Linked DNA regions of Anolis sagrei. The protein of the gene in region 1 purifies or fractionates together with the protein of each later gene. This does not show direct contact. Links are inferred from orthologs where the notes say so. Each region holds a gene or a part of one and is shown on either strand. Other genes may lie near its edges.

Region 1 (7,585 bases):
TATGTATTTCTGCATGCTAAATGCAATCTAGGAGAAAAAACTTCTGCTTTATTATCTGACTGTAAAATACTAAGTACAATCGCATTAAAATTTACCTTTGCTATGGGTAATGTTTGTGAAACACCATTTAGAAATGCAACGAGCATGGGTAGATGTCCTGTTACATGCAAAATATTTTAAGTTGCTATTTTGCCTTCTTTTGCCTTGCCCGATTTTCAGCATGCGGTGGAATCATGACCGCATCATTAAACAGGTCTGATTCCCATAAACATTTGGTGTCTACTTCATGGTTGATGGGAGATAAATACAGAGGGTTCTCCCAGACAGACTGCCCCCAGTCTTAACAATTAAGGTCAGTCTTAACTTCTCTTGCCACACTATCCTTTAAAGGGTGGAAATAGAGTGTGCATCCCACTTTAAATCCTCTTGCGGAATGTTGGGTTTTGTAGTGTAGTGAGACCCAGGACCTTTCTGGCTGAGAATTTTAAAGGCCCCTCCCTGGTATAGTTATATTGAAAGTATTGGTTGTGTTACATATATGGAGACCAGGGTTCAAGTTCCTATTTGGCCATGGAAGCTCACTGAATGACCTTAGACAAGGAGACCCTCTCATGTGGGTTTCTTGGCATTATTTGTTCACAAGGGGTTTGCCTTTACCTTCCTCTGAAAACAGAGAAAGTGACTTGCCCAATGTAACCCAGTGGATTTCCATAGCCCAGGGGGTATTCAAACCTTGGTCTCCAGAAAGGTAGTTCACACTAGCTCACTTTCAGTTTTGAAAATGTAATCCAGTTATTAATTCCAATATGTATGTTACTTTCCAATAGCTTTTTTTTTACTTGTTTTAAAAAACTCTTTGAATTAATGAAATAATGACAAAATATATGGACTGCACCAATAAATTAAAGTAATTTCCTACCGATTGTATTGCTTTGGAAGTGCAACATTGTTATAGCTTGTTAGCCAAAAAGGTAATTACAACAACCTATTACTTCTAAGCTCTGATTTTGCACTTTAACTTAAAAGAGAGACTTATAGCTGAGCCATGTGAATTTTCTGTCCCTACCTTTTGTGCACTCACAGCACTTTCAGTTAATAGTACAAGTGTCGTCAACTTGCGTCTCTCTATAAATAGTTGAACAGTACCTCTCATCTTCTCTTATCTCCGGCAACAATAGTTATGCTGATTGGAATTTAAAGGAAGGAAAGAAAGAAAGAAAGCCACAACTCTAATATTCTGGTTTTGGTAGTTAATGTGGATTTTAGATTTCTGGATTTCCAAACTTCTCAACATCTAAACATTATACACTTTTTACAAATTATTTTATTTTGCCTATAGTTTTCCCTCCCCTGAAATTGGCTGATAATTGTATTGATTGTGAAATAAATAACATGAACTGGACAGGCAGGAATGCAGCCTAGCATTAATATGAATTGAAAAATCTGTAATACATTAAAGCTATTCCTTGGCCCTTAAAAAGCTGTAACCAATTCATATATGAGACGTAGACTCACACTCACTTGGATTTTTTAATGCTTTGTCAAGAACGGAGCAGAAAGATATGGACTAAGAAGCACTAATTTATAAAGATATATATAATCAAACATTTCATTAATTAACAAAACACCCCTGGCTCTTTCTTTCCACCGGGACTGCTGGGACTATATATTTCTCTTTTCCTTTTAACTTCTTCACTGTTGTGGAATATCATATAGCTGAACTACCAGCTCCAATTTATAACCATTCTTTTTCTGCAACTGAACCCCTGCAGTACAGTCAACCAGCACAGTTTAAAGCCCAACTTCACATAGGTGAAAAAATCAACCAAATATTGTACATGACCATTTCTGTTCCCCAATACTATGTTGTGTAGCGGCTTGATCAGTTGATTATGACTCTGAAGACATAGGTTTGAATCCCCACTCAACTATGGAAACATACTGGGTGGCCTTGGGTGAGTCACATTCTCGCAGCCTCAGAGAAAGTCAAAGATAAAACCCCTTTTGCCAAGAAAAGGTTACACAAACCAATCTTTTTACACAAACCCCTCTGGATTTTTACCTGCTGAAGAAGTGGATGAGTTGTGATACCTAGGCCCCTTCTACGTTGCCATATAAAATCCATTCAGCCCAACCCCCTTCTGCCATGCAGGAACACAGATTTGAAAGCGCCCCCAACAGATGGCCATCCAGCCTCTGCTTAAAAACTGCCAGAGGGGGGACTCCAGCATGCTCCGAGGCAGCAGCATAGTGCTGCTCAATAGTGGAATATGCTGTTGAGCAGCACTGACTGTGAAGAAGTTCTTCCTGATGTTTAAGGGAAATTAAACCCTTGCTGCCAACCTTTGTGTTTCCATGACTGCTAAATAATCTTATGGAAAGGAATATAATTACTCATGACTAAGTGTTATGAGTAAGAGTTGCCAGGCATTGTTGACATGCTTACCAGTTTTAAATAGTCTTCCACTTTAATCCTCGCTATGTTTATTTGGAAGGGAGTTCCAATGTGTTCTTTATTCTATAATAAAGGCACCTTATTGATTGCAATTTTATCACGCCTTTGACTTCTATTACAAGGCATTTCCACTGATGTATTGACACATAAAGAAGAGCAGAAGTTATTTGGTTCAGCTTTTAAAACTGGACGTTTTGGCCCAGTGTAATAGACAAGAACATGATTGAAACAGGGCTATTGAAGACTGTTCATGTTACAGAGCAGGCATGTCCAACCTGCGACCTGTGGGCCAATGCAACTCAAGAGGACTATGAATGCGGCCCAACAAAACAAATTTGTAAACTTACTTAAAACATTGTGGATTTTTTGGTGATTTTTTAAAATATAATTTGATTGAATGTGAACTTTTGTAGATGACAACAGAATTAAATATCTTGCTAGTTTTATGTTGCCCCTTTTTCTTTAGTTTTGTCATTCAAAAATGTTTTTAAAATAATGAAATTTTATTACACAGTCTTCAAGTTACAAATAAGACAGGTTCTTCTGATTGTCCTTAAATTGAATTTGTATGTAAGTAGAAACAGGTACATTTTAAAAGTGTAACTCCAGCCAAATATATATTAGCTTTGGATAGCACAGGGAAGGACTAACACTCCTATGATGTTTGTTTTATGGACTGTACCCCTCTTCAGAGGATTTGACCTCACTTTCTGTCTCAGTGATAATTGGATTTTGAAAAAATTAGCTTGTTATGGAAGCAAGGTTTGGTGATAAATCTTCAGTGGAGACACCTTTTCCCCAAGATAACTCTTCCAAGACTGAATTTCCCTTCATGGGGTAGATTTATCTCAGATTGTTGTTGTTTAGGTTAATTATACCCTGCTTTATCTCTCCTGAAGGAGACTCAAAGCAGCTTACAATTAAAAGCATGACCACATAATTTAAAATTCACAAATATGTGAACAATAAAACAGAATTAAACAGATTTATGCCTGATGGAGCAGGCATACTCAGCTGTTGAGTAAGACAAGGCCAGGTTCTTATTAATTTTGGCTCTGCACCTGATGCACTATTAGCAAGTTTCCGCAGGATGTCATTGTGTGCAGCTACTTTGTGCTTGGTGTTCACACAGTGTTTCCTAAAGGTTAGCGTTAAGTCTGAGGGCCCTTTCACACAGTTCTTGGCCTTCCCAGGTAACCTTCAGTTTCCTGTTGGCTTCACAATTATATTGATGGCAAGCACACACTTGTGTCTTGGCAAGGTTAGGCTTCAGAAGGGGAATACTGTGGAATAATGTCAGTTATATTTGGCGAGGCATTAGCACTATTTAGACCTTGCAAAATGACACCTCCTGTGATTTCATAGCATTGCGCCAAAAAGTGGCCAAAGTGATGTCAAACTGCATTCATCCTACACTGTAGATGCCACAACCATGAATAACTCCTGCCATCGTCACTACACCCAGATGTTACTAAGCCAGAAGGTCCTATTCGCCAATGATGAGAAAAATGTTGTTGTTGTATTGTCGAAGGCTTTCATGGCTGGAATTGTTGTAGGTTTTTTCAGGCTGTATTGCCATGGTCTAGAGGCATTCTCTCCTGACGATTCGCCTACACTTTGGCAAGCATCCTCTGAGGTAGTGAGAATGTTTTTGTTGTTTATTTGTTCAGTCACTTCCTACTCTTCTTGACCTCATGGACCAGCCCATGCCAGAGCTCCCTGTTGGCCGTGGCCACCCCAGCTCCTTCAGAGTCAATCCAGTCACTGCAAGGACACCATCCATCCATCTTGCCCTTGGTCGGCCCCTCTTCCTTTTTCCTTCCATTTCCCCCAGCATCATTGTCTTCTCTAAGCTTTCCTTTCTTCTCATTATGTGGCCAAGGTACTTCATCTTTGCCTCTAATATCCTTCCCTCCAATGAGCAGTCGGGTTTTATTTCCTGAGAAATATATTGGAGGGAATATAGTTTATGGCATTTTTCTTTAAATGGATCCAGAAAGACTTTTCAGGAGTTTATCTTCTTGCACATGCGCCTGCTGCCACCACAGACTTCAAATCCACCCACCCCCTCTGGTGACAGCCCTTAGAGTGCGCATGCGCTCTTCAGCATCCTTTTTTCCCCCGCCCTTCTCCTCGCACCCCATGGTGGCCTCGCGAGAGTACGGTGGCGGAAGTTGTTCTGCGGCGCTCCCCTGCTGAGGGCGAAGAAGCCGCTGAGGCGGGGCCGCGGAGAGGAAAGGAAGGAAGGGAGGAAGGAAGGAGAGAGGGACGGGCGGAGGGGGCCGCTTGGAGCGGAACCCCAGCTGACTTACGGTAAGGGGTGCTTGGCCTCGGCCGGGGGTCCGCCCTGGGGGCTTTTCCCTTGGCGGCGGACGCGCAGAGCGGTTGTCGGGGGAGGGGAAGGAAGGGAACGGGAAGGAGGCTGGGGTTCGCCTATGCGCGCGCGCTCGCCTCAGCTGCCTTTCAGTGTGTGAGCGCGCGCGGCGCGGGAAATCGAGGGGAGTCGGGTGGTGCTCGCGCTCTCTGATCTCCTCGTCGTGCGAATGACTCTGCTGCTCCTTGAGAAATGGACACTGCGAGATAAATGCCTTGAGTGGCGGAGAATCTTTCCAGAGTTGGCCTAGTAATTATTAACTTAGGCTCAATGTACACTACTATATCATGCAGTTCCAAACTGCATTATATGAGTTTACACCGGACATGGGCAAACTTCGGCCCTCCAGATATTTTGGACTCCAACTCAGCTGTAAAGTTAATACAGCTTGATAGCACTTTAACAGCTGTGGCTCAATGCCAAGGAATCCTGGGAGTTGTCATTTTACAATTTATTATTTACCATATTTATATCCAGCCCTTCTCAACCCTGAAGGGGACTCGGAGTGGTGCACATAAAGGCACATGCAAGGCCTTTAGCCTTCTCTGCCAAAGAGTGCTGGTGATTTGCCAAACTACAAATCCCAGGATTCCATAGAATTGAACCATGACAGTTAAAGTGTTATCAAGGTGCATTAATTCTTCAGTCAAGATCCAGCCAAGGAAGCCATGGCTATCCAGGGTCTGCAAAACCTTAGCACTGTTCTTGCTGAAAGAGTGACACAGGGCATCCCATAAGTGACAAACCTCTAAGAACCTTTCCACACAGCCATATAATCCAGAATGCCAAGGCAGAAAATCCCACAATATCTGCTTTGAACTGGGTTATCTGAGTCCACATTGCCAAATATCCCAATTCAAAGCAGGTAATGTGGGATTTTATTAAGCTTTGTGGAAGGGACCATAAATGACAAACCTCTAAGTCAAAGTCAATTTGGCGGCAGTTAAGAACAGAACCTTTAGGGTGGTTGTTCTGATCTCATAGTTTCCATGTTGCATTATGATACTGAAATGAAATTCTCTTATAACACATGCTTAGTGTTAAAGCAGAAGTTGCGGTCAGCAGTTTTCTGTAAAAAGTGGTGGGACATGTATGAGGAAGGCAAAAATTAGAAGCAACATTTTGAATTGTCATTCACATTCACCTATTCGGGTGGTGGGAGTAGGCTTGTGTGTCTCTTCATAGATGTCGCCTTGGCAAAAAAGACTGGGAAGGAGTTTTGGCAGTTCCTTCCTTTGAAATATAGCATACTGCATCTGGTGGTCCCTGTCAGTTTGCCACTTGAGTATTAACTAGAGCTGACCCAGATTAGCTTTCAAGATCAGACAGAATCTGTACCTCCTCAGAAAATAGAGACTTCAGTAATGTGTTTGTATCAAAACTTTGGGAATGCAGGAATCTCCTAGGATTCACAGAATGGTTTCAGAGCAAAGGTAAAAATAGCTGTTGCATTGAAGGGGGATATTTAGAGAATCTTTTTCTGTGAATGCCTGAAACTTACCAAAAGTTTTATACAATCCCAATTTGCTTCCAATATCTTAAAAATGATCCAAGAAAAGACATAAAACTGCCAGAGCCCTCTAGCCAACTTAGCCTGTGGCTAAGAGTTTCCAGGAGTTGTAGGCCAAAGTAATGGTTCCAAGTTTTGCTTTAATTGTGCATATTAAAATGACATTGAGTACATCTATACTGTAGAATCAATGCAGTTCCCTGGGTCTGTGCTATGATTTGTAGTTGAGGCACTAGCACGCTTTGACAGATAAGTCGAAACTGTAACTCTCATGATTTCCCAATATTGAGTCCTGCTGAGCCTAGTGATGTCAACCTGCATTCATTCTATAGTTTAGCTGCACCCATTGCTTCTTAAAATTGTGTGCTGTTAAAAGATGCCTGGTGTCAATTCAAAATATAGAAGAAATGTTTCCCATTTGGGGAAAAACCCCAAGGCTTTATACCCTAAAAACATACTACAGGACACCCAAATTAATTTATTCTTACCCCTGGGCTATGACTTCCATGAGATATCACTGAAAAGAAATGTATCCTTAGTTAAGAAACCTCTACCTCCTCAAGATGTTCTGTTTTTTTTGTTTAGTTTTGTTTGTTTGTTTGTTTTGGTTTTTTGTTTTGTTTTTGCTTCAGGCTAATTTCTTGTGATAAACTGGTAGATACTTTTTCTGGCAAACATAGCAAGTCGGCTATGTAATGTTATCCCTACAATGTAATGCAAATCCCCAATGCTTAGTTCCTGCAAGATAATAAGGCCTCCTCAAAATAAGTTTATGTATGTAATTTGACCATTGGCAACCCCTGCATATATTTTGATAACTCTGCAGTGGGTCATTTAGTGTAATGTTTTACAATAGTAGTTTAACTCATGTATACTTTAGTTTAACTCATTTCAGTTTTTTATTTTATTTGGGAAAGGGATGTGTCTAGTTTCTAAGGAAGGAGCTCCTACTCTTCTCTAGAGCTCCTACTCCACATTATAATAATGCTTTTCTGATAAGCCTTCAAGTCTTGTAGTGAACCTATTGCAGGGTTTCCTTGGAAAGGTTTGTTTAGAGTGGGGTTGTCTTTGTATTCATCTGAACCTGAGAGAGTGTGACTTGTCATAAATCAGGAGTGTCAAACTGATGTTCATTAGGGGCCATTTCAGCCCTGTGGTTGCCTTCAAAGGGCCGATTACTCCGTAGATCGATAACCCATTGTTACAAAGGACTACATATAATTTTTAAAACACAATGGTCAGTGCT
Region 2 (7,488 bases), on another chromosome or scaffold:
CACAGAGCTCATGATTTTGATAACATTTGAAGTAGATCAGGACACTGACTCCTTTCCATTCCAAATAACTCTTATAATTTAAAGAAAACTTTCCAATGTAGAGGAACATTGCTTCGGAATTCTTATACTTGTGGTGTTATATATGTAGAAGTGTTGGTCGAATGTGACACCTCCCACCCCACAAAGGTGACAATCAAGGTCCATTGTGTGCATGCACAGGCCAGTAGGAGGTTTTAATAGGAGTAGGAGGTATCAATAGCCAAGACTCGCCCTGCTGATTGCTTCAAATGAGCTGAGGGATGGCTGGCCCGGAAACTGGAATTCAAAGTATTGAAACACTTTGAACTCTTTTCTTTACCTCTCAAAAGACCGATTGAAGAAGATCATCACATTTTGTTCCTGAGCTCCTTGCGCTTGTTCTTCCCAGGAAATTTCCTCATTATTCAAGACTGAAACAACTGAACCAACCAAGGACTCATTTACATCTCCCAATATGGACATGGGGTTTCCAGGGCTTGCCTCTTCCCAGGAGAGCTGCCCTTCAACAGCTGATTGGCCCTTCCTACACCAATCCTCATCCACCTCCTTCCCTCCAGCAGGGAATCTCCGCCTGGAGGTGGCAATGTGATCAAAGTGCCAGCCAATTGGGGAGCGGATCCAACCTGGCCTCTCTCTTGGTCAGGAAGAGAATTGGGCAGAGCTGGAAGGCTTGACTAGCTATCAAATGGTAAAACTTCATGTCTCTGTATTCATGATTATGCTTGTACATTTGGCACTAATCATACTTGCATCCTTTCTGAGCGGATTGCTAATAAACCTTTGTGGCTACTTTCACCTGGTGAGTATTGGAAATGTCAACGTTCTTCAAGCCTTCTCTAGTAATGGTTATCTATGATCCTGTTTCTTACAGTTTCCTGTATGTATGTTCTCATGTGCAACTTCCTTTACTCCAGGTATGGGCAAACCCAGGAGTGGGGGCCTGATGCAGCCCCTTGGGTTCTTTTCTCAGACAGTCTCTCTCTCCATCCTATCCTATCCTTCCTTCCTTCTCTCTTTCCTTCCTCCTTCCTTTCCTTTCTTCCTCTGTCTCCCTCCCTCCCTCCCCTCTTTCCTCCCTCCTTCCCTCTCTCTGTTTCTCCTTCCTTTCCTTCCTTCCCCTTTGTCTTGCCCTCCCTCGAGTCCCTTCCACCCTTCCTTCCATCCATCCATCCATCCATCCATCCTTCTCTTCCTCCCTTCCATCCATTCCTCCTTACTTTTCTTTTTCCTCCCTCCTTTCCTCCTGGGGGATGTTTAGCTGGGAGAAGAGAAGGAAGAGAGGGAACGTGAGAACCATGTTTCAATATTTCAACTCACCATGGGGCCCCCAAGTTAAAAAGTTTGCCCATGCCTGCTTTACTCTATGGCTTCTGAGAAGTTATAAAAGGAGCTGCAGACCACATGCTCTTTTCTCTCTCTCCTTTTGACTATGCAACCTGCTGATAGTTGTTTTGCTTTAAGAGAGATGCCCTGGCCAGATGGCACAATTATCTGCAACATATCTGAAACTGGCTTTTTGAGCAGGTTTTCCCCAAATACAGCACAGCTAAATTTAATTATGAAACTACCTGATAATGCAATGGAATAACGATTTGACATGGAGACGCTCACGATAATGTTTTAAGGCTTTGTACAGTTTTTATATTTTTTATATCGTATGCTATTGTTTTTAACAGAATTTCTTGATTGTTTTTACTTGTTATAATTGTTGAGGCATCGAATTCTTGCCAATTTGTGAACTGCTCCGAGTCACCTCTGGGCTGAGAAGGGCAATATATATATATATATATATATATATATAGACAGAGAGAGAGAGAGAGAGAGAGAGAGAGAGAGAGAAATAAATCAACTGGACTGATAAGTTTTGTACCTGTGTATGCTGAACACATGAAGGTTGTTAGTAAACCAAATATCTTATCTTTATCAAAGTCTACTTCATTCTTGTCTGTTGAGTGCATGATATAAAACAAATTGTTTTATGGGAGAGTATATATTTTGGGCACTGAAAATGCACTTCTAAAGCTCTGCTTTTTTATACATTGGCAAATCTCTGTTTTCCTAACAAATCAGAGATAATAGGTTATTCAGTCTAACAAGTGAAACCATTGCCTTGCATAATTATATCTGGTTGTATACTACAAGAGAAGATTCTACCCTAAAGGGTTTTTTGGCTCGTCTCTGAAAAGTTATGCTTTTCTAAAAAGTTGTGATCTCCAAAAGCTGTTTTCCCAAAAGGTTATGAATATAATTTTTCAAAAGTGAGTGTGTTCTTCAATCAGGAACTTGGGGCTTTAATGTAAATGCTCGCCGGGTATGGGCCCTCTTTACCCAGGGTCCTAGTCTAAATTCGAGCTCGGAAGGATGGGAGAGAGAAAGAAGCATATAACAGAAGCTTTGACTTCTTTTGTATTCATGGATGAGGCAATATTTGAAGGGGGAATCTCCTGGTTAACTCTTAGCCACCACAATTCCCAGGTAGATTAAGTTTAGAAAGAAAACAAATACTTCTTCAATACTAGCGAGGCTGAACAGGGGTTGAATCAAATAGTTCCAGGGGTCCTTTAATGTTTCACAACTATAGCACTATGCGTCCATCTCAAGTGTCATGGCAACATCCCATAGAATCCTGGCACTTGTAAGTTTTAGCGAGGAGTATTTATAATTGCCAGTCAAAAAGCTGTAGTGCTCTACCAAACTATACTGTATATTCAATGATTTCAGAGGATGGATCATTCATTGGCAGTTAGAAGCTGAATTAGAGCTATGGTCCAAGGTCAATATTATCTATAATTCATCATTCTGGCTCAGGTTCTTTCCTCATTAGAAGTCCCACTGGCATAACGACCTCTTGTTTTCTGTCGGTTGAGAACATAAGAGGAGCTCAGATGGACCAGACCTATCTAGTTCAGCATCCTGTTTACCTCAGTAGCGAATTGCTAACCAGATGCTCAAGTAGATCATGATGGCAACATTTCTGTCTCAATGAACTGAATGGCTAGAATAACAACACAAGGCTATTTTGTATCTAAATTAACATTTATACTTTGCTTTACTCTCCTTTCCACAATTGCTATTATGAACATGTATATACGGAGGATTTTCTAGAACAGTGGTTCTCAACCTTCCTAATGGTATGACCCCTTAATGTAGTTCCTCATGTTGTGGTGACCCTCAACCATGAAATGACTTTTGTTGCTACTTCATAACTGTAATTCTGCTACTGTTATGAATCGTAATGTAAATATCTGACATGCAGCATGTATTTTCATTCACTGAAGCAAATTTGGCACAAATTCCTGATATGCCCAAATTTGAATACTGGTGGGGTGGGGGGAGGATTGATTTTGTCATTTGGGAGTTGTAGTTGCTGGAATTAAAGTTCACCTACAATAAAAGAGCATTCTGAACTCCACCAATGATGGAATTAAACCAAACTTGGCACACAGAACGCTCATGACCCATAGAAAATACTGGAAGGGTTTGGTGGGCACTGACCTTGAGGAAGAGACTTTAAAAACACCTGTCTCCTGGCTGTTGCTTATTATTTCTTTTGTGGTTTTATATTGTATTTAATGTTTTTATGTGCATTTTGATATTATGTATATGACTTGTTGCCTGTTAACCGCCTTGAGTCACCAAAAGGCTGAGAAAAGGCGGTATACAAATACAGTAAATAAATAAATAATACCCAACTTCCTGACTGTCAGAGCTGTCCAGCACACTCTCTGCCTCAGAGTGTGCTGGAAGATCTTTCCTTGGAAACTTTTTAACAGAGGTTGGATGACCATCTGTCAGGGGTGCTTTGATTGTGCTTTTCCTGCATGGCAGGGGGGTTGGACTGGATGGCCCATGTGGTCTCTTCCAACTCTAACAGCGCTCTGTGCAGTCACGTGACCTTCGAGGTGTCTACGGACAACTCCGGCTCCTCGGCTTAGAAATGGATATGAGCAGCAACCCCTAGGGTCGGACACGACTGTCTGGGGAAAACCTTTACCTTTTACCTATGATCTACACTGTAGAATTAACGCAATTTGAAACCCCTTGCTGTGGAAGATGAAAAGGAAATCCCGGAAGAGAAGAATGGGCCTGGTGGTGAGAGGGGAAGCCTGCTCCACTCACCCTTCCCGCCTCCTCCTTCTCTCGTCGCAGCGGCCATCCCGCCAGGCTTCCATTCCCACACCTTGGACCAATGGGGAGCGACGGGGCCCCGCCCACTCCTTCCCTTGGTGCCACGCCCACTCCGAGAAAGCAAAGCATGTCGGGAGAGTTGGAGCGGGCCCTCTTTTGTCTGACCAGAGACCGCGGCAAGGAAGGGGGCGTGGCTATCTTTCTCGGCGAGGGCAACAAAATAAAGACTACACTTCCCGTCGTGCATTAGGGGAAGGGAAGGGAGGGAGGGGGAGGATCAGGAGGAGCGAAGTGGGCGGGGCTGGCTCGGCTGGCAGTCCCAGCGCGCGAGCCGGGCTTCGTCAATCCGAACAATGCCTTCTCCGCCGCGGCCGGCGCCCGACGAGGAGCGGGGCTGAAGAAGAGCGCGCGCCACGGAGGCAGCAGCAAGCCAAGCAAAGCCAAGCCAAGCAAGCTCCGCTGCATCAGCCGCTGCGCTGTGTCTTCCTACTCTTGGATTTTGCAAAGCAGCCTCGTTGGCTTCGGAAGCAGAGAGGAGCTGCTACTGTCACTATTTGGGAAAAGAAACCAAACAAACCAAACAAAACAAGGGGGAACACTGAGCATGTGGATTCCTACAGAGCACGAGAAATACGGAGTCGGTGAGTGCCACAGACCCAAGTCAGGGAAGGAAAGGAAGGAAGGAAGGGGGAGATCCAATGGACCTCTCTTTTGCACATCCTTCTGCTCCTCCAACCTGAATTCTTTTATCCTGATCTTCATGGCAGTTCTGCATTTGTCTGGCTGGCTCTTCAACTGGTTAAGGTTTCCTCCCAAATTGCTGAATGACTTTGGTTGGAGGCAGGTTAAGACAATGAATGCATTGCCTTCAAGTGAAGGAAGGTTAAAGTTTCCCCAAAAATAATTCAGATTGCATTGGTTGTCTTCTAGATTAAGGTGTTCATTTAGATATGGATAATGTTGGGTCAGGTGAAGGTTTCCCTTCAAAACAAATCCATTATATTGGTTGTTTTCAAGTAGAGGCAGTTTTAAGATGTCTAGTTCTTTAAAAATAACAATTCTTGTCTTTAGTTGGAGGGAGGTTAAGGTTTCCCCCCAAATAACTAAATTATTTTGCCTTTCAAGTCTATGCAGATTAAGGTTTCTCTAGAAAAATACACGATGTTGGTTGTTTTCAATAGAGGCAGGTTAAGCTATCCAGTTTTTTAAAGAAATGTATTGTATTCAAGAGGGTTGGACTGGATGGCCCTTGTGGTCTCATCCAACTCTACCCAACTGATTCAACTGGAAGCAGGTTAAGGTTTTTCCCCAAAATAAATATATTTTTGGGACATTGAAAGGTGTCCCACTCTCTATATACATATACATTTATATATGTGTGTGTGTGTATATATATAATGTTTTATGTATATTATAGTGTATATATATATATATATATATAATATTGAAATATTCTAATATTAATATATGTTATAATATATTGATATATAACATAAAATATTATATTATATATTAATATATTAATATATTATAATACTATATGTATATATATATATATATATATAAATTAAAAAGACTATTATTGTTTTTAAGATGACAAGAGAGGTTAAAGTTCTCCCCAAATGAACACATTGCATTGATTTGTCTTCAAGTAGAGAGTGGTTCAAGTATCAAAGTATTTTTTAATGATTTTCATCAAGTGGAGGCAGATTAAGGTTTTCCTCAAAATAAATATATTAATTGCACTCATTGTATTCAGATAAAGGGAAGTTAAAGTATCCATTTTTTTAAATTGTCTTCAGATGGAGGCAGGTTAAGGGGCTCCATTTAAAAAATGCATTCATTGTCTTCAAGTAGAGGCAGGTTAAGCATTCCAATTTTTGGTGTAAAAAATGTACATTTATTGCGCTATCTGTTTCCCATCTTCCTCCTTCAACCTCCTTCCCTTCCCTTTGCGCCAAGTGTCATTTGGATAGTGTTTTAAAATGTGGCATAAAGGAAAATGGTGAGGGTTTTTTTTCCCCTTTCCCAAATTGGATGTCATGAATGGTGAAGATCGGATAGTAGATTTTGTAATAGATCCTTTTAGGGACTGTCTCCCATTAAGCAGAATCTTCTAAAGCAAAGGAACCCCATCAACTCACTCACATAAAAAAGAGCAGACTAAGCAATCTCCCACAATTGTTACAAACTGTATGTTTTGGCACAAGGTTTTGAAATTGGGGCTAAACTGCCATCTTTCGCGTAAACCGAGAGAGGCACCAATGTGCAGTTCAGTGTGCATCTCTCTCTCTGTGTCTGTGTGTGCATAGTGTTTTTGTTTTAATTTGGATAGTAACCTAGTTCCAGCGGTGTTGTTTTTGTTCTCTGGTTGAATTGAGTACAAAGGTACCTAGCTTATTACACAAGGAAGCAGGCAGGGCCGAGGTGGGATCAGTTGGGGGAAACTTGCCCTCCTCTTTGGGGCGGAGGAGGAGAAATCTGCCTCCCTCCTCTCTGCAAAAGGTGAACAACAAAGGAGGTTAGATGTTGACGGATGAATGTGGGGTTTTTCATCTCCCCCCTTCACCCGCCTCCTCCCCACCATTGATGCGCTTCTGGCTCCCTCCCCTGCCTTCATCCCTTATTGAATATTTTAAAACTTGGATTTTATTTCTGCCTCCAGACACTTTACACCCAGATCCTTCTGATGATCGTACTTTGGATTATTCATTTCTGTATATCGTGCCACCCATCTTTCCTTTTTAGCTTGCAATGCACATTTCTCAGACCGCCCCCCCCCCCCCAACTTTGAAATGGTGCAAAGATCAAGGATATGCCTCTCTGTCTTTGGATAGCTGGGACATTTTCCCCAATTCTGTTTGGGGGATTAACTATAGGGATATTTCAGACCACAAAGTGATAAAGGTTGCAACCTTGTACCCTTTATTCCCATAGCCCCACTGATTTATATCTAAGTAGATGTGTTTAAGATTGCAAGTATATGGAAGACTTCTAAAGGTTTGGAAGCTATAATAAAATATTCGAAGGGACTTTCCCTGGCTTTTCAGGTAAAGGGTATTGCAGGAATGTTGTTTGTTCTGCATTGAGATATGCCTGTGCTACTTAGTTGCGGATGTGACACCAAATCCAGCTGGAATGCAAAGACTTTTGTGCTGTGTTGTCGAAGGCTTTCATGGCTGAAATCACTTGGTGGCTGTGAGTTTTCCGAGCTGTATGGACATGTTCCAGAAACTGATCTTTCTGTCTTTTAACCATTTGCATTGTAACACCAGATCTACTGCATGCAGCCATTTAGATATGATCCCAGATGCTGCTCTC
Region 3 (7,733 bases), on another chromosome or scaffold:
CAACAGTATTCAAATTTGGGCGTATCGGGTATTTGGGCAAAATTGGTCCAGTGAATGAAAATACATCCTGGATATCAGATTCATAACAGTAGCAAAATTACGGTTATGAAGTAGCAATGAAAATAATTTTATGATTGGGGGTCACCACAACATGAGGAACTGTATTAAGGGGTCACGGCATTAGGAAGGTTAAGAAACACTGGGATACAGGATAATGAAAAAAAATGAAATGAATACTTTTGAGAACCTTAGACAGATGATAACCAAGAGAAAATGACTATGTGCTCGAACATACTGAGATATAAATATTTAATAGTATTCCTGTACCGTTGTATTATTATTTAAAGAGAAGTCAAGGGTCGAGGTTTTTGGGAGAAAATGGGGAGCTGATGGGATTGGGGGAAAATTGTATTTTGATTGTTGAATTTCGAAGATTGCATGCCTCTATGTATGTATTTATAATGTGCAACATTCACACTTGCCCCCAACAGACAAGAGTTCTTTCTCCCACCGTGGACATTCCAGAGATATATAAACCTCACTTGCCTAGTTTGCAACAGACCTCACAAACTCTGAGGATGCCTGCCATAGATGCAGACAAAACGTCAGGACAGAAGGCTTCTGGAACATGGCCAAACAGCCCGGAAAACTCATAGCAACCCAGTGATTCCAGCCATGAAAGACTTCGACATTTTGACCTGAAAAATTTCGGGGGTGGTTTAAACCCCTCAATCTCTCCCTTGGCTACGGGCTTGTCCCAGATCCACCTCATAGTAGTGTTGCATTGCTTTCTCCTGGATGGTGTTTTCTCTTTAAAGGGAGAGACAGAGAGAAAGAGAGGGAAAGAGGGTGGAGCCCTCCTCGCTCCAAGCCCAAACTTTCCATCCAAGTTTAGAAAAACTGAGTGGAGTCGAAATGGGCTGAAGAATGGGCATTTAACCCTTCAGATTTCCACCTCAGAGCAGGAAGTCCTGCATTAGAGGAAAAGATGAACAAAAAGGAGACAGAAAAGGTGGGGAAGTGCCCCTTCGGTCCCCTGTTATTGTGTCTAATTTACCTCCACCTTTCACCCCCTTTGGAATCAAAAACCCGTTATCCTCAAGGCCTGTTGTTCTGTCCCTCAGACGACACAACTAAAGTTTCTTAAAACACACACACATACATACATATAGATATACATACACACACATGCACACATATGTAAGTCTTTAAATAGTAAATAATTACTTGTTCTGAGATATATAAATTATATATATCTGGGAGATACAAAACATACATACATACACACAAACATATATATAATACGTATATCTAATACACATATTATATAGATATATATTATATAGATATTTGTTTACTATTTAAGTCTTTAAATAGTAAATAATGACCTATTCTGAGAGAAATAAATATATATCTGGGAGATAGAAAACAATAATATTAATATATAATAGAATTTACATATATAGATATATGTACATATAAGTCTTTAAATAGTAAATAATGACCTGCTCTGAGAGATATAAATATATATCTGGAAGATATTATATATCTTATATATATTATATATTAATGTAATATACACATATAATATAATATATGTATTATATAGATATATGCACATATATGTCTTTAACTAGTAATTGCCTGTTCTGAGATATACAAATATATATCTGGAAGATACTCTCTCTCTCTCTCTCTATATATATATGCACATATATAATAAATTTAATATAATATACATATATGATAGAATATAATATTATATAGATATATGTACATATATGTCTTTAAATAGTAAATAATTACCTGTTCTGAGAGATATAAAATATTTCTGGGAGATATAAAACATATATGTAATATAATATTAATATATAATAGAATTTACATATTATATACTTATATGTATACATATAAGTCTTTCAATAGTAAATAATGACCTATTCTGGGAGATCTAAATATATAACTGGGAGATATAAAACATATACATACATATATGTAATATAATATTAATATATAATAGAGTGCACATATTATATAGATATATGTACACATATAAGTCTTTCAATAGTAATAATTGCCTGGAAGATATTATATATATAATTTAATGTAATATACACATATAATATAATATACATATTATATATAATAATATAATAATATTATATATAATTATAATATACATATTATATAGATATACGTACATATATAAGTCTTTAAATAATAAATAATTACCTGTTCTGAAAGATATAAATATATATCTGGAAGATAGAAAACATATATATGTGTGTGTATGTGTGTGTAATATAATATTAATATATAATAGAATATACATATTATATAGATATATGTACATATAAGTCTTCAAATAGTAAATAATGACCTGTTCTGAGAGATATAAATATATAGCTGGACTATATTTATATATATATATATATATATATAGTGTAATATACATATATAATATAATATAATATATATGCATATATATATATATATATATATATATATATAAAAGTAGTAAATAATTGCCTGTTCTGAGAGATACAAATATATATCTGAGAAATACAAATATATATCTGGGAGATATAAAACATATATATATATATATGTTTTATATCTCCCAGATATATATTTGTATCTCTCAGAACAGGCAATTATTTGCTAAAGACATATAGATATATTTACTAAAGACTATAGATATATAGACATATATAAGTTTTGAAATAGTAAATAATGACCTGTTGTGGGAGAGAGAGAGAGAGAGAGAGAGCAGGGATTCCTCCTCACGCGAAAGCAGCAGCAGCAACTCCCCAACTCCTGAGAGAACTACCGGTCGCCGCGAGGGAAAAAAATAAATAAAACTAAAAAGGGCTCGCGCCAGGCTCCGCCCACTTTCGCGCGCCACCAACCGTCACTCGGAGGAGGGAGGGAAGGGAGGGAGAGCGCGCGCCCGTACGCATGCGCCCATCCTTTTTCCTTTTCCCCCGGCGTGTGCTCTCAGCTGTTGCTGCTACTGCTATTGCGAGAAACTTTGGGGCGCGTGCGCATTTCACTCCCATTCTCTCTCCCTCTCTCTCTCGGGGGCGTGGCTATCTCCTCGTCCAATCAATAGCGGTGGAAATACGGCGTCCTTTTCTTTCTTTCTTTTTTTTGTCTGAAAGGGGCGTGGCTTTTCTCCGTCCAATCAAAATCGCGACGAGGCGAGCACCACAAAAGTAGGCCTATTCCTCAATCTCTCCGAAGGGGGCGTGGCAAAGGGTCGTGGCTTCTCTCCGTCCAATCAGCGGCCTCCGAAATCGCGAGGAGGCGGGCACCACAAAGTAGGCATATTCCTCAATCTCTCCGAAGGGGGCGTGGCTTCTCGATGTCCAATCCGCGCCTTCCGAGGACTCTACAGCTCTCATTTCCCGGCATGCGTCGCGCTCATGGACCGTTCAGTGAGGGAAAGCAGAGACGCATCACACCTTCCAATTGACGGAATCCTTCCGCTGTCGGAAATGAGTCCGCTTCAACGTTTGGTGTTTTGGACTCAAAAAAGGGCGGATTTGGTGCCCAAAGGCGCGCCTTTCGGTCTGGACAGACAAAGAGACGCTTATCCCGCTGTTAGTGCGGGAATTTATGGGAGGAGGGAGAAAGGGAGGCGGAAGGATATGGGGAAACGAGAGCGGTGATGCGCCCGTGTTGTGTTTTGAGTGGGGAGAGGAAGGAAGGAAGCGGAAGAGAGTGAGGATGAATGAAGGTGGCTGAGTTGGGGTGAAAACTGCCCTCCCATACAAAGGCCAGCTCTTCTGTGCCAGGTTAGTTATTGATGTGCGGGAGGAGAAGGAAAACAAACGGACACAGGCCGAGGCGGCGTGCCAGAAGGCGGGGGAAGGGCCCGTGAGGCCTACAAGGCCTCCTTTCCATTCAGAATCAATGAAGACATTCCAGAAATATAAAGAGACCCGGGGACGCCGTGTGAGAAGCAATAGTAATACCTAGCATTAATAATAAATAACAATAGCATCAACTTCAAATTAGACCAGGCATGGGCAAACTTTGGCCCTCCCTCCAGGTGTTTTGGACTTCAACTCCCACCATTCCTAACAGCTGGTAGGACCAAGTTTGTCTATGCCTGGTCTACACACTTACCTAACATTGGTTATGGGCCCAGCACTCAACTGAAGTGGCTGAGGAGGGAAAAGAAGGGTCCTGAGGCTGTTAGGAATTGTGGGAGTTGAAGTCCAAAACACTTGGAAGGCCCAAGTTTGCTCATGCTTGGTCTACACACTGACTTAACATTGGCTATGGGCCCAGCACTCAACTGAAGTGGCTGAGGGGGAAAAAGAAGAGTCCAGCACTCAGCTTAAGTGGCTGAGGGGGAAAAGAAGGGGAAAGAAGGGTCCTGAGGCTGTTAGGAATGGTGGGAGTTGAAGTCCAAAACACTTGAAGGTCCAAGTTTGCCTGCGCCTGGTCTACACACTGACCTAACATTAGCTATGGGCCCAGCACTTAACTGAAGTGGCTGAGGGGAGGAAAGAAGGGTCTGGAGGCTGTTAGGAATGGTGGGAGTTGAAGTCCAAAACATCTAGAAGGCCCAAGTTTGCCCATGCCTGGTCTACACACTGACCTAACATTGGTTATGGGCCCAGCACTCAGCTTACGTAGCTGAGGGAGAAAAGGAAAGGGCCTGAGGCTGTTAGTAATGGTGGGAGTTGGAGTACAAAACTTCTGGAGGACCCAAGTTTGCCCATGCCTGGTCTGCACACTGACCTAACATTGGTTATGGGCCCAGCACTCAGCTTACATAGCTGAGGGGAAAAAGGAAAGGACTTGGAGCTATTAGGAACGGTGAGAGTTGAAGTCCAAAACATCTGAAGGGTCCAAGTTTGCTGATATCTCGTCTACACATTGACCTAACATTGGTTATGGGCCCACAACTCAGCTTAAGCAACTGAGGGGGGAAAGGAATGGGCCTGAAGCTGTTAGGAATGGTGGGAGTTTAAATCCAGAACATCTAGAGAGCCCAAGTTTGCCCATTCCTGGTCTACACACTGACCTGACATTGGTTATGGGCCCAGAACTCAGCTTAAGCAACTGGAGGCCCCAAGTTTGCCCATTCCTGGTCTACACACTGACCTAACATTGGTTATGGGCCCAGCACTCAGCTTAAGCAGCTGAGGGGGAAAAGGAAAGGGCCTGAGGCTGTAAGGAATGGTGGGAGTTGGAGTACAAAACTTCTGGAGGACCCAAGTTTGTCCATGCCTGGTCTACACACTGACCTAACATTGGCTATGGGCCTAGCACTCAGCTTAAGTGGCAGAGGGGGAAAAAGAAGGGTCCTGAGGCTGTTAGGAATGGTGGGAGTTGAAGTCCAAAACATCTGGAAGGCCCAAGTTTGTCCACGCCTGGTCTACACACTGACCTAACATTGGCTATGGACCCAGCACTCAGCTTAAGTGGCTGAGGGGAAAAGGAAAGGGCCTGAGGCTGTTAGGAATGGTGGGAGTTGAAGTCCCAAACATCTGGAAGGCCCAAGTTTGCCCATGCCTGGTCTACACACTGACCTAACATTGGTTATGGGCCCAATTTGCAATTTGTTTCATAAAGATCAAGTAGACAGAACATATTGTAAAGAACAAAAAAAACTTTCTGGCCTTGCATCGCACATTTTAGTGCAAATACTAAGACACAAATAGTGTTAAATTCAGCAAGTATTGCAGAATGTCATGTCACAGTCCACTTCAAAAAGGTTCATGACATGCAGCTGTAAATAAAATGCTGTAGTATATAAAAAGCCACATGTTAAATTCATAAAATATATACTGGTTTATTTGGATGATTTTAAAGTGATTTCACTCAGCTTAAGCAGCTGAGGGGGGAAAGCAGCTGAGGCTGTTAGGAATGGTGGGAATTGAAGTCCAAAACACCTGGAGGGCCCAAGTTTGCCCATGCCTGGTCTACACACTGATTTAGGCTATCCGGATATCACTTCTCTAATTCTGAGCCACGTTACACAACAAGCATTGAGTCCCAGATATCATACTTTTGCCCTATGCTCTTGTTATATCACTACATAGAGTACTGCAATGTGCTCTACATGGGGTTGCCTTTGAAGACTGCTTAGAAGCTTCAAGTACTCCAATGATATAGGAGCCCCCGGTGGCGCAGTGGGTTAAATCCTTGTGCCGGAAGGACTGAAGACCAACAGGTTGGACGTTTGAATCTGGGGAGAGTGCGGATGAGCCCCTCAGTCAGCTCCAGCTCCTCATGTCGGGACATGAGAGAAGTCTCCCACAAGGATGGTAAAACGTCAAAACATCTGGGCATCTTTGCAGTCAGCCAATTCTCTTACACCAGAAACGACTCGCAGTTTCTCAAGTTGCTCCTGACACAGAAAAAAAACAGCCGGATTGCTTTTTGGTGGACAGGGAGCGTGCAACCCCCCTGCTGCGTTACCTCCATTGGCTGCCAATTTGCTGCCGAGCACAATTCAAAGTGCTGGCTTTAGCCTATAAAGTCCCAAATGGTTCTGGCCCAGCTTACCTTTCCAAATGTTTCTCCCCTATAGATCACCTCGAACACTAAGATCTTCTGGGGAGATCCATACCCCCCCCCCCCTTTTTAATGTTGAGTGCTAGGCCCATAGCCAATGTTAGATCAGTGTGTAGACCAGGCATGGGCAAACTTGAGCCTTCCAGGTGTTTTGGACTTGTAAGCTGTACCTTGAAAACGGCCCGGAAATTTCAATTGGTCCAACCCCATAAATTTCATTGGGTTTTATTAGGCAAAGAATCCTGAGAGAAGGTTTGCCGGTTCCTTCCTCTGAAATATAGCCTAAATCACTGGCTAGTTGTTGGCGAACTTCTTTCCAAACAGGACTCGCCTTCCTTAGCTGCCAAAATAATATAGGATCAGGTGTTTTCAGGATATTTAGATATCTTAAGATGGAGACAATCCTTTTGTTCAGCATAGTTTCGTATTGTTATTGACTAGCATTGACTGTCCAGGTTTCATATATCTTCTTCCCATGCATTCTTCCTGATATCACATTGAATTTTGGAGCTTCTAAATGCAAAACATGTTATTTGCCACTGAGCCACGATCTTCCTTCTTATTCCTTTCCAATTAATGTCTCCTTTATTTGTGTTGTGGTGCTAAGCTTCTAAACTTGAAGCAGGAGATCTGTTCAGAGCCTTCAAATATTTGAGATTGCAAAATTGGGGTCAGATGAGGAGGAGAAAGCTGACTCTTCCACAATGATGAGCTTTCATCAAATGTAACTAAATGCTGGCAAAGCAGAGTTGGATGCTGAAACCTATTTTTACACCAGTACTGGGATTGTATTTTTGTGGATTTCTCCAATTTAGACAGCTTATTTCTCTTACTAATTCCCTCGGCTTTCTTTCAAATCCTTAGGTCCCCAATGGTATGCCAGTTTCTTGTTTCACAAAGCTGTTTATCCATGATTTGCTTTTTTTAGCATGGTATCAGTAAAATGCAAGACTAATTTTTATTTTGGGCTGGCAGATTTGAGTATCCTTGCTGTAAGGAACAGTGGTGGTAATAGCAAGCTGTGGGAAGCCATTTCCCTCCTGTCCTGGACTAATTCCATTGATCCTTTAGAGACTTGAAATCATGTTCTTAAAATGCATGAATGTTTGTGAGAACACTCCAGGTCAATCTGAACTAAGTCAGGGATTAGTGTAGGATTGTGAGAATCCTCCCATGGATGCGCTTTAAAAGAGTGTAAA
Region 4 (7,711 bases), on another chromosome or scaffold:
AATTGATGGGGACGAGGGATAGAGCCTTCTCGGTGGTGGCCCCTTGACTCTGGAACTCGCTCCCCAAGGACATTAGGCTGGCCCAACTCTGGCAGTCTTCAAGAGGAGCCTGAAAACGTTGTTCCAGTGTGCCTTCCCAGAATAAGGAAACCCTAAGCAACATGCCCCTAATCGCACTTTACTAATGATCTAGGATTGTCTGCTCGCTCCATCTCTCTCCAAATACCTATCCTAGTTATATGTCACCTTGTCACGCCCAGCATTTTTAAAAAAAGATTAATTATTACATTTGACCCTGCCATAGGTTTTTAATGCGTTGTTGTGTTATTGTTACTGTTTATTGGTTTGTTTATGAGTTAGTTTATTGTCTGTATTATTGTTGTTGCTTTTTACTGATGTATTTAGGCTCGGCCTCTTGTAAGCCGCACCGAGTCCTTCGGGAGATGGTAAAAAGGTAAAGGTAGTCCCCTGACATTAAGTCCAGTCATGTCTGACTCTGGGGTGTGGTGCTCATCTCCATTTCTAAGCCGAAGAGCCGGTGTTGTCCGTAGACACCTCCAAGGTCATGACTGCATGGAGCGCCGTTACCTTCCCGCTGGAGCGGTACCTATTGATCTACTCACATTTGCATATTTTTGAACTGCTAGGTTGGCAGAAGGTAGGGCTGACAGCGGAAGCTCACGCCGCTCCCCGGAATTGAACCTGTGACCTTTCAATCAACAAGCTCAGCAGCTCAGTGCTTTAACCCACTGCACCACCGGGGGCTCCCTTTCGGGAGATGGGAGGATTATTATTATTATTATTATTATTATTATTATTATTAGGAGTGTGTTGATGTTACTATTAGAATCAGAGTAAAGTTGTGATGCAAGCTCCTTATATTACCTGTTAACTTTTCAGATCCAAATCATGCAATCTGATATTAAGTACATACATTTGGAAGAAAGACATAAGGAAGTAAATGTGACAAAATTTGGTTCATATTTGTAAAAGTAACGCCTGCTTTCTCTATGCTGCCAAAATAATGTGAACAGACTTGTGGAAAGAGATCTACTGAAAATAATGGAAGGAGCTATGAAAATGTTACCTGTAATATTGTACCTCTAATACGGAAACCTAGGCAAGTCATCACTATACTGGTGTGAACCAAGTTTTATTTGCAAAGCAATATGTGTGTGTTTCCAGACTTTGACAGAACATTGACCCTCATGTTCCCTTTATTAGTACAGATTAGTACAAATGCAGTGTACTTACTTGTGCCTTACTAACATTGCTTATTGTGTTTGGCTTCAATTGCCTGCTTCCTGAAGAGCAAGAGAGAAATAAACTTTATGTTTCAAACTTATAAACTGCCTGGTACAAAAGGTCAGCAGGGTTGCATACCATAGCAGATGCCCAGTATAACTGCAAGTTGGGAGGCAACTCTGTGGATGTAATTTAAAGCTGCTATAGTCTAAATTTTAAAAAAAATGTGAAATTGAACTGTACGTTGCAGAAAGTCTAGAGACATAATATACCGATAGTAGCACTTTTTCTTTGTTGTAGTCGTGTCTATAACTTAAAAGCACCACTGAGTGTGAGAATGCACTCGTAGACTGTCATCCCGTTTGGATATCAGCCAGCACGTCAACGACTTAAATCAAGAAATAGTTTTCTAAGATCTACAGAGACACTCGCTGGAACACTTCAGCAAGTGAGAGTCCAAAAGTGGCAGGCTCAAACCCAGAACCTCAATCAATGGCTGATACCAAATGAGAGACTCCCCCCTGGGCACACAGAGGACTGGGCGACTTGGAAGGCGCTGAACAGACTGCGCTCTGGCACCACGAGATGCAGAGCCAACCTTAAGAAATGGGTCTACAAAGTGGAATCCACGACATGCGAGAGCGGAGAAGAGCAAACCACTGACCACCTGCTGCAATGCAACCTGAGCCCTGCCACATGCACGATGGAGGACCTCCTTGCGGCAACACCAGAGGCACTCCAAGTGGCCAGGTACTGGTCAAAGGACATTTAATCAACTACTCAGCTCGCAAACTTTGTGTTTTGTTTGTTTCTTTGTTTTGTTAAAGAATGCAATGCAACTGGTCTGCCCCTGACACGATAAATAAAATCTGCTTCCTTGCAGAGTCTACATTTGAGATTATTATTATTATATAGCCCGAAAAACCTACAATATCCCAGTGATTCCAGCCATGAAAGCCTTCGACAATACATTGTCCCCTTTCAGTTTGGCTAATGCAGTGGTTCCCAGATGTTTTTGCCCTTAGAATCATAGAATCAAAGAGTTGGAAGAGACCTCATGGGCCATTCAGTCCAACCCCCTGCCAAGAAGCAGGAATATTGCATGCAAATCACCCCTGACAGATGGCCATCCAGCATCTGTTTAAAAGCTTCCAAAGAAGGAGCCTCCACCACACTCCGGGGCAGAGAGTTCCACTGCTGAACAGCTCTCACAGTTCTTCCTCACGTTCAGATGGAATCTCCTTTCTTGTAGTTTGAAGCCACTGTTTCGTGTCCTAGTCTCCAGGGAAGCAGAAAACAAGCTTGCTCCCTCCTCCCTGTGGCTTCATCTCACATATTTATACAGCCTTCTCTTCTTCAGGCTAAACATGCCCAGCTCCTTAAGCCGCTCCTCATAGGGCTTGTTCTCCAGACCCTTGATCATTTTAGTCGCCCTCCTCTGGACACATTCCAGCTTGTTAATATCTCTCTTGAATTGTGGTGCCCAGAATTGGACACAATATTCCAGGTGTGGTCTAACCAAAGCGGAATAGAGGGGTAGCCTTCAACTCCCAGAAGTCCTAACAGCTGGTAAATTGGCTAGGATTTCTGGGAGTTGTAGGCCCAAAACATCTGGGGATCCCAGGCTGAGAACCACTGTGCTAGTGGTCCCCGTTGGAGGTCGCCTCTAACCCAGAAAGACTCAGCCTCTGTTGTCGAAGGTTTTCAGGGTGGGACAAAGGACTCTTGTCTGCTGGAGCTAGGTGTGAATGTTTCAACTGACCACCTTGATTGGCATATAATGGCCTGACAGTGTCTAGAGCAAACTTTTGTTGAGAGGTGATTAGATGTCCTTGTTTGTTTCCTCTCTGTTGTTGTGCTGTTGTAATTTTAGAGTTTTTTTTAATACTGGTAGCCAGATTTTGTTCATTTTCATGGTTTCCTCCTTTCTGTTGAAATTGTCCACGTTTGTGTATTTCAATGGCTTCTCTGTGTAGTCTGACATGGTGGTTGTGAGAGTGGTCCAGCATTTCTGTGTTCTCATATAATATGCTGTGTCCAGGTTGGTTCATCAGGTGTTCTGCTATGGCTGATTTCTCTGGCTGAAGTAGTCTGCAGTGCCTTTCATGTTCCATGGTACCTCTCTATTCTGTTTTAGTTAGACCTCGCCGGCAATACTGTGCCCAATTCTGGACACCACAGTTCAAAAGAGATATGGAGAAACTGGAAGGTGTCAAGAGAAGGGCAACTAAAACGATCAAAGGTCTTGAGACCATGAATACCTATGAGGAGTGTCTTAAAGGGTTTCATATGTTTAGCTTGCAGAAGAGAAAGTTGAGAGGAGACATGATAGTCGTGCATAAATATGTGAAAGAATGTCATAAGTGGGATCAAGGAAAATGAAAGGCACTGCAAACTATTTCAACCACTATTTTCAATCAAGAAGTCAGCCATAGCAGACCACCTGATGAACCAACCTGGACACAGCATAGAATCAAAGAGTTGGAAGAGCCATCCAGTCCAACCCCTGCCAAGAAGCAGGAATATCGCATTCAAATCACCCCTGACAGATGGCCATCCAGCCTCTGTTTAAAACCTTCCAAAGAAGGAGCCTCCACCGCACTCCGGGGCAGAGAGTTCCACTGCTGAACGGCTCTCACAGTCAGGAAGTTCTTCCTCATGTTCAGATGGAATCTCCTCTCTTGTAGTTTGAAGCCATTGTTCCGCATCCTAGTCTCCAAGGAAGCAGAAAACAAACTTGCTCCCTCCTCCCTGTGGCTTCCTCTCACATATTTATACATGGCTATCATATCTCCTCTCAGCCTTCTCTTCTTCAGGCTAAACATGCCCAGCTCCTTAAGCCGCTCCTCATAGGGCTTGATCATTTTAGTCGCCCTCCTCTGGACACATTCCAGCTTGTCAATATCTCTCTTGAATTGTGGTGCCTAGAATTGGACACAATACTCCAGGTCTGGTCTAACCAAAGCGGAATAGAGGGGTAGCCTTCAACTCCCAGAAATCCTAACAGCTGGAAAATTGGCTAGGATTTCTGGGAGTTGTAGGCCCAAAACATCTGGGGATCCCAGGCTGAGAACCACTGGGCTAGTGGTCCCCGTTGGAAGTCGCCTCTAACCTAGAGAGACTCAGCCTCTGTTTTTCTCTACTCCCCCCCCCTTCCTCCTTTCCTATCTCTACCACCTCCCCCCCCCCCCCTTAAATCTCATTGGTACATCCCAGCCTCCTGCTCAACAAACACTGGAAGATCCCTTCGGAAGAAGGGGGAACAATTTAGGGGTGGGGAAGAAGAAGAAGAAGAAGGAAGTTTCTCCAGAGGTAGGAAAGGGAGGGGGAGGAGGAAGAGGGCGGGACGGGCGAGCCGCTGGGCCAATGGCAGCGACCTTCGGGGCGGGGCATCCAATCGCCGGGCCGCATAGGGAGGAAGAAGGCGGGAGCGCGCGGACGGCACTGCGCCTGCGCGGGAGGAAAAGGCGTGAGAGAGTGTGTGAGGCGGAGAGGAAAGGGGGGAGCGGAGGAAATAGCCGCGTCGCTTCGCGTGAGGGAGGGGATGGAGCGGAGCCGAGCCCTGGCCGGGAAGTTGTGCTGAGGGAGGGAGGAGGAGGAGGAAGGGAGGGAGGCCAGGGCGAGGCGGAGGAGAAGGAGAAAGCCGGGTCTCTTCCGCCCAGAGAGGCCAGGAGGGAGGATGGAGCAAGAGGAGATCCTGAGGAAATTCATCCAGCGCGTCCGGGCCATGAAGGACACCGACCACAATGGGGAGGACAACTTCGCCACAGACTTCATGGTAAGCCTGCTGTGAGGGGAAGGGGGCGCCCAGGGGGAGAAGGCCTGCGGGGGGGGGGGAGGGTGGGGAGGGAGGCTCGAGGCCCTTCCTGGGTGCCTCCCCCTCCCCCTTTCTTTCCCCCTTCTCCATCTCTGAAAGGAAGCTGCTGCATCCTCTTCCCTTTCCTCGCAGCCTTTTCCTGTGGGTGTGTGCCTTTGCTAGGAAGCCTTGTGCAAAAGATAGACACATATTCTGGCTCTTTGCTTCTTTCTCCCCTCCTCCAGAAGTCCCCCCCCCCTTTTTTTTTGAAGGCACGCCTCTACCTTAAGAAGGGAGCAGCCCAGAGGGATTTCTTCCTTTCTGGTTTTGTTACCAGGTACCAAGGAAGGATGTGTGTGGAAATCGGGGATCACCTTCCCCTGCAGTTGGGGTCTATCAGGGCCCCTTTACTACTACTAATAATAATCTGTATTTATACCCTGCTGCCATCATCATCATCATCTTATATAAATAAAAATGTAATAATACTAATACTACTACTACTAATAATAATCTTTATTTATACCCTGCCACCATAATAATAATAATAATAATCATCATCATCATCATCATTATCATCATCTTATATAAATAAAAATGTAATAATACTAATAATACTACTACTAATAAGAATCTTTATTTATACCCTGCCACCATAATAATAATAATAATCATCATCATCATCATCATCATCTTATATAAATAAAAATGTAATACTACTACTAATAATAATCTTTATTTATACCCTGCTACCATAATAATAATAATCATCATCATCATCATCATCACCACTATCTTATATAAATAAAAATGTAATAATAATACTAATAATAATAATCTTTATTTATACCCTGCTACCATAATCTTCATCATCATCTTATATAAATAAAAATGTAATAATAATACTAATCTTTATTTATACCCTGCTACCATAATAATAATAATCATCATCGTCATCATCTTATATAATTTTTTTAATAGTAATACTAATAATAATATTTATTTATACCCTGCTACCATAATAATAATAATATTTATTTATACCCTGCCACTATAATAATAATAATAATAATCATCATCATCTTATATAAATAAAAGTGTAATAATAATAATCATCATCATCTTATATAAATAAAAATGTAATGTTCGTTTGTGGGATTAACATAACTCAAAAACCACTGGACCAATTGACACCAAATTTAGAGACAATACACCTAACAACCCAATGAGTGACCATCACCCATAAAAACACTGAAAAACACAGTGGAATAGACTTTAAAAAGCCAAAAAATAAAAAATACATTACAACGCATGTGCAAAACCACATATATACACAAACACACACATATATATATACACACACATATATACACACACACATAGAATCATAGAATTAAAGAGTTGGAAGAGACCTCATGGGCCGTCCAGTCCAACCCCCTGCCATGAAGCAGGAATATTGCATTCAAATCACCCCTGACAGATGGCCATCCAGCCACATATACACAGATTGGACCACAGCAACATGTGGCAGGGGATGGCTAGTATATAAATAAAAATGTAATGTTCGTTTGTGGGATTAACATAACTCAAAAACCACTGAACGAATTGATACCAAATTCGGACGCAATACACCTAACAACCCAATGAGTGACCATCACTCATAAAAACACAGAAACGCACAGTGGAATAGACTTTAAAAAGCCAAAAAGTAAAAAATACATTACAATGCATGTGCAAAACCACATATATACACAAACACACACATATACACATATATACACACACACACATATATACACAGACTGGGCCACAGCAACGTGTGGCAGGGCATGGCTAGTACATAAATAAAAATGTAATGTTCATTTGTGGGATTAACATAACTCAAAAACCACTGAGCGAATTGATACAAAATTCGGACACAATACACCTAACAACCTAATGAGTGACCATCACTCATAAAAGCACTGAAAAACACAACAGAAGGGACTTATAAAGCCAAAAAAATAAAAAATACATTACAATGCATGTGCAAAACCACATATATACACAAACACATACATATACACACATATATATACACACACATATACACAGACTGGGCCACATCAATGCGTGGCAAGGGATGGCTAGTAATCTATATAAATAAAAATGTAATGTATGTTTGTGGGATTAATATAACTCAAAAACCATTGGACGAATCGACACCAAATTTGGACACAAGACACCTATCAGGCCAACGAGTGACCATCACTCATAAAAACACTGAAAAACACAGCAGAAGAGACTTTAAAAGTCAAAAAAGCAAGAAGATGCTACAGCGCATGCGCAAAAATGACTCCACCTGGCAAACAAAACACACAATAGCATATCCACACTCTCTTCCAGACTACAGCTCCCAGCATCCTCTAGACCAAGCCCTTTAGGAGGGGGGGGGGATCCAAATGCATTGCTTCCAAGCTGCAAGCTTTCTTCTTGGATTTCTTTGAGAGCATCCTAATCCCTGCAGATTTCCAATTACCTATTCTTGGACTGCAACTCTCAGCAATCCTCCAGATAGATAGATTGGAAAGAGATAGATAGATCAGGAGGACTGCTGGAAGTTGCAGTCCAAGAATAGATAGAGAAGGAAGAAAGGGGAGAAAGAGGAAGGGAAAGAAAAAGGGGGATGGA

Evidence for each region.
Region 2: the proteins of GRB2 (region 1) and DOCK4 purify together in Homo sapiens (co-immunoprecipitation; 4 studies listed by BioGRID and IntAct, counting the BioPlex papers as one, with this or other methods). This does not show direct contact. The link is inferred for Anolis sagrei from reciprocal best matches to the Homo sapiens genes GRB2 and DOCK4.
Region 3: the proteins of GRB2 (region 1) and PEAK1 purify together in Homo sapiens (co-immunoprecipitation; 3 studies listed by BioGRID and IntAct, counting the BioPlex papers as one, with this or other methods). This does not show direct contact. The link is inferred for Anolis sagrei from reciprocal best matches to the Homo sapiens genes GRB2 and PEAK1.
Region 4: the proteins of GRB2 (region 1) and PTPN12 purify together in Homo sapiens (affinity purification with mass spectrometry; 3 studies listed by BioGRID and IntAct, with this or other methods). This does not show direct contact. The link is inferred for Anolis sagrei from reciprocal best matches to the Homo sapiens genes GRB2 and PTPN12.

The regions. Positions count from the first base shown.
Region 1 is NC_090022.1:117,442,580-117,450,164, reverse strand, and holds the start of GRB2 (growth factor receptor-bound protein 2), read left to right. Parts: upstream 1-4,567; 5' UTR 4,568-4,768; intron 4,769-7,585. UniProt on the Homo sapiens protein: Non-enzymatic adapter protein that plays a pivotal role in precisely regulated signaling cascades from cell surface receptors to cellular responses, including signaling transduction and gene expression.
Region 2 is NC_090025.1:133,553,174-133,560,661, forward strand, and holds the start of DOCK4 (dedicator of cytokinesis protein 4), read left to right. Parts: upstream 1-4,472; 5' UTR 4,473-4,771; coding exon 4,772-4,808; intron 4,809-7,488. Other genes in the region: ZNF277 (zinc finger protein 277), read right to left, coding at 4,159-4,195. UniProt on the Homo sapiens protein: Functions as a guanine nucleotide exchange factor (GEF) that promotes the exchange of GDP to GTP, converting inactive GDP-bound small GTPases into their active GTP-bound form. Involved in regulation of adherens junction between cells.
Region 3 is NC_090029.1:10,715,912-10,723,644, reverse strand, and holds the start of PEAK1 (inactive tyrosine-protein kinase PEAK1), read right to left. Parts: upstream 3,004-7,733; 5' UTR 2,739-3,003; intron 1-2,738. UniProt on the Homo sapiens protein: Probable catalytically inactive kinase. Scaffolding protein that regulates the cytoskeleton to control cell spreading and migration by modulating focal adhesion dynamics. Acts as a scaffold for mediating EGFR signaling.
Region 4 is NC_090025.1:85,808,548-85,816,258, forward strand, and holds the start of PTPN12 (tyrosine-protein phosphatase non-receptor type 12), read left to right. Parts: upstream 1-4,696; 5' UTR 4,697-4,924; coding exon 4,925-5,023; intron 5,024-7,711. UniProt on the Homo sapiens protein: Dephosphorylates a range of proteins, and thereby regulates cellular signaling cascades. Dephosphorylates cellular tyrosine kinases, such as ERBB2 and PTK2B/PYK2, and thereby regulates signaling via ERBB2 and PTK2B/PYK2.